Linked DNA regions of Tribolium castaneum. The protein of the gene in region 2 interacts with the protein of the main gene of each other region in a pairwise test. Links are inferred from orthologs where the notes say so. Each region holds a gene or a part of one and is shown on either strand. Other genes may lie near its edges.

Region 1 (3,655 bases), on a different chromosome or scaffold from region 2:
GTTAAACTGCCACGACGTGAAGTCATCAATTATTACACTCGACGCATAAATGATTTCATAAGTTTATGGACGCTTTTATGACTAAGAACAATCATGTCACTTCAACTCGCAGCATTTCATAAATTTTAACAGTTTACGACGAAAAATTGCCTTGACTTCCTTGCTTGAAGATTTATTTATTTTGTAATTCTAACTCAATGATAATGTGTTTCAGTTCCAGAAATTACTCAAGTCTTAGTTTTTGGAATTGCAGCTAAAAGTTTTTATTTTTAAAAATATCCCAAGTATAAAAAAATTTTTCGTTTTATCAATTTTTTTATCAGAAAACTATCAATCTAAATAGGCCAATAGATCGTTAGTTGAGATCTAATTTGGGTATTTATGACGATACTTTGCAAAAATAAGTTCAAAAACAAGCTAAATTTGCGAAAAAGGCCAAACATTTCGTCCTTTGGCCTGTTTGAAATAATCAGACTTGAGGTTTTGGTGTTAAAATGCTCCGAAAAAGACAAAAATAACGTAACTTTGACTAATTAGTTAAGCTTTCTGCCAAAATCAGAAAAAAATTGTACAGAAATTTTGAAAAAGTTAAAAAATTATTACGTTCTTACTAGATTATTGCCGGTTTACTGTTTTTTTTGCAGTTGAAGGTCCTTTGTTTTCTGCAAAATTCAGAAAAATTGTAGGTACGGATGGTTCGCCAAAAAATAATTCGACAAAAATGAGCTAATGGCAAAATATTTAGAAAAAATCAAAAAAATGTATTAAGCCGTAAGAAGTGATTGTCGGTTTCACAATCGAAGGTTTTTTTGATAAGCTTTGTTTTCTGCAAAAATCATGAGAATTCTATGGATAATTTGCTAAGAAAAATAAAGTCAAGACAAAAATAAAGTAGTATTTTGTGAAGACTAAAAAAATCGAAAATTATTAAAACTCTAAATAGCAATTGCTGGTTCACTATTTTTTACAATCGAAGGCCCGTTAGATAAGCTTTGCTATCTGCAAAAATTGTACAGATGGTTCACCAAAAAAATTATTCGACAAAGAATAGGCCAATGACAAAATATTTATTTTCAGAAAACAAAGAAATTACTAAAACCCTAAGATGTCATTGTCGATTTCACAGTCGACGATCTCTTTGATAAGCTTTGTTTTCTACAAAAATCATGAGACTTATATGGAAAATTCGCTAAGAAAAATAAGAAAAAAATAAAGTAGTATTTGGTGAAAACTAAAAAAAATAGCGAAAATTATTAAAACTTTAAATAACAATTGCCGGTTCACTATTTTTTTGAGATCGAAGGCCGTTTAGATAATCTTTGCTTTCTACAAAAGTCTGAAAAGTCTCACGAATGATTCAACAGAACAAAATAATTCTTCTGAAAACTAACTAATGCGTACTAACGACACAATATTTTGAGAAAACCAAATAAATATTAAAGTCGCAAGAAATAATTGTATATTTCACATTCGATGACCTTTTGTTATTTTCTGCAAAAAAACAGAATTCTTCGGATAATTCCCTAAAAAATAATTGGAACTAGATAGAAACAAAATATTAAAAAAAAAATAAAAAATTATATTAAAACCGTAACAAATTATTGCTGGTTTACTATTTTTTTGCAATCGAAGGCCCGTTGGATAAGCTTTGATATCTGCAAAAATTAGGAAAATTGTTCACCAGGAAAATGATTCACCAAAAAATAATTCGACACAGAATGGGTCAATGACAAAATATTTTGAAAAAACAAAGAAATTATTAAAGCCCTAAGAAGTCATTATCGGTTTCACAGTCGATGATTCTTTTGCTAAGCTTTGTTTTCTGCTAAATCATAAAAATTGTACGAACGATTCGATAAGAAAATAAATCGTCTAAAAATGAGCCAAGGACAAAATATTTTGTGGCAAAGAAAAAAAAAAAGTTCCAAGAAATGTTTGCATAGTTTACAATCGATAGTCCTTTTGATAAGCAAATGCTGTGTTTCCTCAGAAAAATTATTAAGATGATTCGCTAAGACAATTGTCTTTAAAGCGAGTTAGTGACGAAACAGTTTACTGTTTTTTTCTAAATGAAGACCTTTTTGATAAGCTTTGTTTTCTGAAAAATAAAGAAAAACAAATAATTTTCAAAAACATACTTCCTCTAAAAACCAACCAATAATTAACACATTATTTAAAAAAAAAACAAAAATTTATTAAAGCCTTAAGCGGCGATCGTAGGTTACAGGCGAAAGTCCTTTAACTTTTGCTTTCTGCAAAATTCGTAAACATCCTACGGATAATTCGCCAAAAAGTAATTAGTCAACCAATGAGTCTATTTTGCTTACCTATTTTAAAAAGGCAAAAAAAAGAATTCAAATTAATTAATTCCAGGTTTTTTGTAATTTTTTTTCTCGCTCAGAACAAAACTAAATTTTGCGAAACAGTTTTATTTTTGAGCATAAATGAATTTTTTTGCAGGAAAATTCGAACAATCTATAAGTTTCTAACACAAAATAAGATAATTTTTAAGAAATTGGGTTTGTTTATTGATTCATTTTAGATTTTACTTTTCTTATTATTATTTTTTGTTCTCGCTTCGTAAATCGTTGACTTTATTGGTCTCTCTCATGCCACCGTTATGCAAAAGGTCGCCAGACCAGCACCTTTTCGACAATAGAATCCGTTGGGTGCGTCCACCCCTTCGGGGCCGGTTCCTGGCCGCCCCTGAAACACTGGGCGTTTCCGAAATAAATCACGGCCACTTCTGACCAATGGTCTGTCCACGCCATCTGCGTAAATTGCCCTCGGTGAAAATCCACCTAATCTCGAAAAAATCCCTATCACCCCTCTCAAAACGTCATTATTAATTCTGACAACTCGAATAATAACAAACAGTCAAAGGTACAAATGCCTCCCGCGGGGTTATTCGAGCGCACCCTTCCTCGCTCTCAAAGAAAAAAATAAAGTTACAGATGTCGCCGAAAAAACTCATAACGACATAATTTTCGCACGCCTTTCGGACAAAGCGCACCCTTTGCCCCCGCCGAGAGGGCGGGAATCGATTCATTCCATTAGCAACGGGCCGATTCAATTTTTGCAATTTTATAATAAATTAACGGAGCTTTCGCTTGCTTTCAGGTGCACATCAAGTCCTCGTTCATCATGAACGGCGTCTGCGTGAGATGGCGGGGTTGGCTGGACCTGGAGCGCCTCGACGGCGTCGGCTGCCTGGAGTACTGCGAGGAGCGGGCCGCTCAGGAGGACGCCCTCCTGCGGGAGCAGATCGAGAGGTACAACCAGAGGCTGCGGGAGTTCGAGGACAAGCAGAGGGGGTACAGGCAGCAGGACCGGCCTGAGCAAGACCTAGAGGTACGTGTCGGGGGCGCCCTCCACCAGAGGAACTACATGAAGCTGTATTAGGTTTAGTGATACTTGGCATGATTAATTTTTCGTTTAATCTGTCTTTTTTACCTTTATTTTTGTAAATATTTATCGTTGAATGTTGACGTAATTTTAGTTACCCGATTCTTATGAATGCAATATGTAAATAAACGGATTTTTCATCCATTTTGTTTCATTTTTGTTTGCTCGTTTTTATTTGACCGTGAATCGGAAAGAAGGTAAGTAACTCATTTCACATCACACGCCAGCGGTTTTTTGGATTTTGTTGGAC
Region 2 (4,455 bases):
ATTATTTATTAATTTTGAAGTTGGAAAGTTAATTTTGCTTAAACATCTCTCTTTAGAAAGAAATTGGTACAAAAATTCTGTATGTGTTGTTTGTTAAATAAACACCGATTAATAATAAGCCATTCATTTTAATTTTGCGGAAGTAAAGAGAAGTAGGTTTTCAGTGTTATAGGTAATCCCTGATTAATATTTCCAGTTTAAAGGCATTGGCAATTAATAAAAAAGATTTATCTTGAATGATAGTACTGAAGACGCTTATTACAGAAGTGAAAATCATTTCTCTGTACCTGTTTTCTAACTCAAGTTATTTCGTTTTAAGTTTGAAATTGTGACGTCATAACTGCCTATCGAGCATTTGGTTCAATATTAAGATCAAATGGATTTAGGCTTTTAAAAGACACTAACAGAAGACAAAATTTAAACAGAAATTAGTCGAAAAAATAGTTAATTTTTAATATTGTAGAAGATTCATCATTTTGTGGTATTTGTACTTGAAAATATATTTGTTTGATTCGTCGAAGATGGTATACAGGAGAAGAGAAATAAAACCATTAATTTCGTCGCGACGTTTCGATACCTTTGATGTATCTTCATTAGGCTACAATTTAGGCGTTTAGTTATTAGTTTAGTTATCCAACAATATAATAATTAAACGCCCAAATTGTAGCCTGATGAAGATACAATAAAGGTATCGAAACGTCGCTGTGGAAGATCTTTGAAAAATGTTCAAATATTTGTCAGATTTTTGGTGATTGAGAGTGAGCGTTCAGTGATAGAGTAATAAGAAGATTCTGTGATGAAAGGCGGGTGTGACGTCACGATTCCTTTCTTTCTAAGCGGTTATCTCGCTTGTTTTTCATCATAGAAAATTAAAAAAAAACTGCTGGTATAGAACGAGCGATATTTTCAGTTTACGTTAAAAAATAAAACATAATTAAGCTTAATTTATGTATTAAGTCAAATAAGAATAAATCATTATTAGTTCTGTGTACAAAATAACATATTACGAGGTATTAGAACCACTCTTATTATTTTAAAATATTTTTGCTTATGACTATTTTTTATAAAACTTCCTACGAAAATTATTACTAAAGACTGAATTTTCTCACAGTTATTGTTATTACTAAAATCAGATGCAAAAACTGAGACAATAAGCAAACTCACCATTTTCTTTTTGCAAAGCTAAATAAAATAACTATTTTATTCGGAAACTATGATTTGTAAAGCTCATGACTTTCAATTTTTTAACAAACAATGAAGCCACTTAAAAAAATGGTCGCTCAGAAGACTGTTACAACTTTCCAAAATATAGTTTTTCGGAAATATTTCAAAACTGACAGTTAAAAATTTTATTTTTTTTATGAAAAAAGCTTAAGAACTTTTAAATAATATAGTATCGTTAAATAATAGAGCATGATTGTTGTTTCCTTACCTTTAATAAGTGAGGCATGTAGATTGGTTTGCGTGGGCACATTCGTCCTGGCCCTGAAGTAATCCGGCCACGTATAGCTCATGTATGCCGCATCCAGCCATCCCGGATTCAACAAAAAGGGGTTGAATCCAGCGGGCATTCCGGGCAAGCCGTACCCATACTGGTAATCTGTAAAAAATCGTAAATTTTCGGTTAGTAAACATCGCTTTTGCAATCAACACGCGGGGGGTGTTTACACAACGGTTTTATTCTTGGCTTTATTCCTCTACTAAATTTACCCGAATCTGTAGCATATGCCCTATAAAACTGATTTAAATGTTTGAATTCGATTGCGATAAACATAAAAAGTTTTACGTTGTTGACTATACTTAATATGCCGACAAACCAAGAAAGTCGTTACTCGTTTTATTTGTTTACTTGAGCCATATGTTGATGGAAGGTTTTACGCGCTTATGGCTGTTTATTAAACACTGAATGTTTGTCACGGTTTCGTACTTACTTGACTTGGTCCGGGGCTCCCGGGGCCCGTCCACGGTCACCTTGATGGCCTTGTTGTAGGTGGCGATCTGGTAGTAGGGCTCCGAGCTGATGGTGATGGTGAGGGTGAAGCTCTTCCCGCGACCGCTTCGCCCCACGAACCGCAAATCGTTGAACTTGGCCACTTGGTTCTTCATCACCGCCGTGCAGTTCCGCAGCTCGGCGCAGTAGTTCTCGTCGTTGCCCGCCTTCAGGGTGACCGTGGTGCCGTCGCGGACCTCGTCGAGGGCCACCACCTTGAAGGCGATGGGCAGGCTCTTGTTGCTCCTCCAGTGCGAGGGCAGCACGCTGCAGAGCACGGCCGGGCTGCCCGTCTGCACCAGCTCGCCGTGGTACTCCTGGAGGGTCTCTTGCAGGCTGGCGTACATGTCCATGATCGACGGCTGCTGGGCGTTGATGGGCAAATGCATGGGTGCACGACACTCACGAACCACACACTCTATTTTTAAAAACGCTGCTGCACTTTTGGTCGCCGGTGTTGGACTGAATTTGAAACTTTTTCGTTTGTTCGGCCGATATTAGCACCCCCGCTCCTGCTGCTGAAGGAGGGTAGTTTTTATGGAGCATAAATAGGTACGGTGAATGAAAGAGAGCGATGTGATTTGTCGCCTTATAATGGGCGATAGAAAGGGACAGATGTGACCCTTGCTGGGGTCCGACTTTTATAAAACGGGAGACAGAGACGGATTCACGCCGATTTACACCAAAGGCAAAGGACAGACGACGTCTTGTTGACTGGAAGAAAGAGAAAAAATATGGGGGTTGCGTGCACGAAAGTGAGAGGTGCTACAGTTTTGCATTTGACAGAGATCAAAGTATCGCTTACATTTGTTGAAGTGAGACGTACAATTTGATACATTGAGTGAGCATAATGCAGGACCGGGCTCGCGCCCACCGCAACGTCCACACCACGGCAAACACTCCAAGTTTAACAAATTATTAAAGAAAAGACATAAGTTATGTATAAACTATAGAACATCTCCTAATACTAGAAAATATATAAAAAATATATTAAAACAAAAAATACAGCGTGTTTACATACAAAAATCGCAGAACACTGGTTTAAAAAAATACACAATTAAATATTTAATTTTTGGAAACCCTTGCAATAGTTGACAAACTAATCATTATCTCATTATTACTCATAAATTGCTGTTTTTCACAAACAATTTTGATGTGTTCTATCAAGAGACGGAATAAATGTGTGTCTAATCTGTCTAACTCAATAGTTAACTAACCAAAAACGAGGCTATTTTTTAAAGGGGTGAACAAACTCGAGAAGACTATTCAATTTGTCAAAGTTTGTAATCAAGTTAGTGTTGGAATATGCATTGTTGATTGCATTTTACAGGCGCAGGCCTCGTAAAATTACGTAAAACACCCTGTATATACATTTTCGAAAAATGTACATAGTGAGTATATAAAATTAAAAATCGCATATCTACAATGTTCCACTAATTTTTATATTCTAATATGAACGCCGTAAATTTAATCCCCAATTAAATGCGTGATTGGCTGATCACGTGAGCAAATCTAGCCAATCAGATGCTCTCACTCCCGAAATTAGTATTTTTTATTTTATTTTATTTTTCCAAATTATAAATTTGGTTGTAATTTTTTGTGTTATTCCGGGCCTGGGCGGCAAATGAGGTGATGAAGAAAGCTAGTTGGGTTTTGTTGAGGTGTAACCGGGATAGAGTGCGAGAGACGGGCGATGCGCTTCTGTTTGTGCGAGAGGGAGACAGTTTCGGTTAGGTGACGTTGGTAGGAGTGAGACGCTATATAGCCAATCCCAGACGTGGTTTTTGAGGCCTAGCCGTGGTTAGTCCCTCCCCTGACATGCCACACACCAAGCCACCCCCTCATCCCCACTCCACTCATCTACTTTCAGCTGTTTTCAGACGCAAGCGACTAGATTCCAGACGACGTTGTGAGCGTATTGTTTGGCGTTTGCTCGCAGGATAAGACGCCAAATGTGCCGATTTCTCCACTGATGCGAATTTGTTTTTTTGGTAGGGTTTATGGGAGGGGGGTTAATCGATAGGGAGCGGATTTATTTGAATAAAGCGGGGGGTGAGTGTTTTTTATGGGGAAGATTTCGGAGTAAAACACCCTTAATACACGCTTACTAATAAACGACATGCTGCAATCCGAACCGGCGGGGCATAAATCAATGCCTCATCTAAAGCAACGCTTGCACATGACGGGGGTTAATGTTTTACACGCGTGTTATTGCGCTTCATATTGAATTTTTGCGATTCTTCGAGGGAGCTGTTTAAGGAACGGGGAACACTGAGGTGCGAAATGGGCAAAAATAAATTAGGGGAAAGTGAGAAGACAATAAAAGCTATTTTCAGAATGGTTTGTTTTTACCTTGGATTTCACGTTTATGATGTGTAATTAATTCGACTGAAGCATAAAAATTTAAACACTTAATTAAGCGGGAAACGGCCTTTGAAAAATATAAAATAGCTAAATTAAAACGG

The links. The genes of interacting proteins can lie anywhere in the genome.
Region 1: the proteins of run (region 2) and protein big brother interact in a two-hybrid assay, tested with the Drosophila melanogaster proteins (2 studies listed by BioGRID). The link is inferred for Tribolium castaneum from reciprocal best matches to the Drosophila melanogaster genes run and Bgb.

The regions. Positions count from the first base shown.
Region 1 is NC_087398.1:9,985,171-9,988,825, forward strand, and holds part of protein big brother, read left to right. Parts: intron 1-3,120; coding exon 3,121-3,351; intron 3,352-3,655. UniProt on the Drosophila melanogaster protein: Regulates the DNA-binding properties of Runt.
Region 2 is NC_087399.1:3,522,822-3,527,276, forward strand, and holds the start of run (segmentation protein Runt), read right to left. Parts: upstream 2,893-4,455; 5' UTR 2,380-2,892; coding exon 1,932-2,379; intron 1,601-1,931; coding exon 1,433-1,600; intron 1-1,432. UniProt on the Drosophila melanogaster protein: Plays a pivotal role in regulating the expression of other pair-rule genes such as eve, ftz, and h.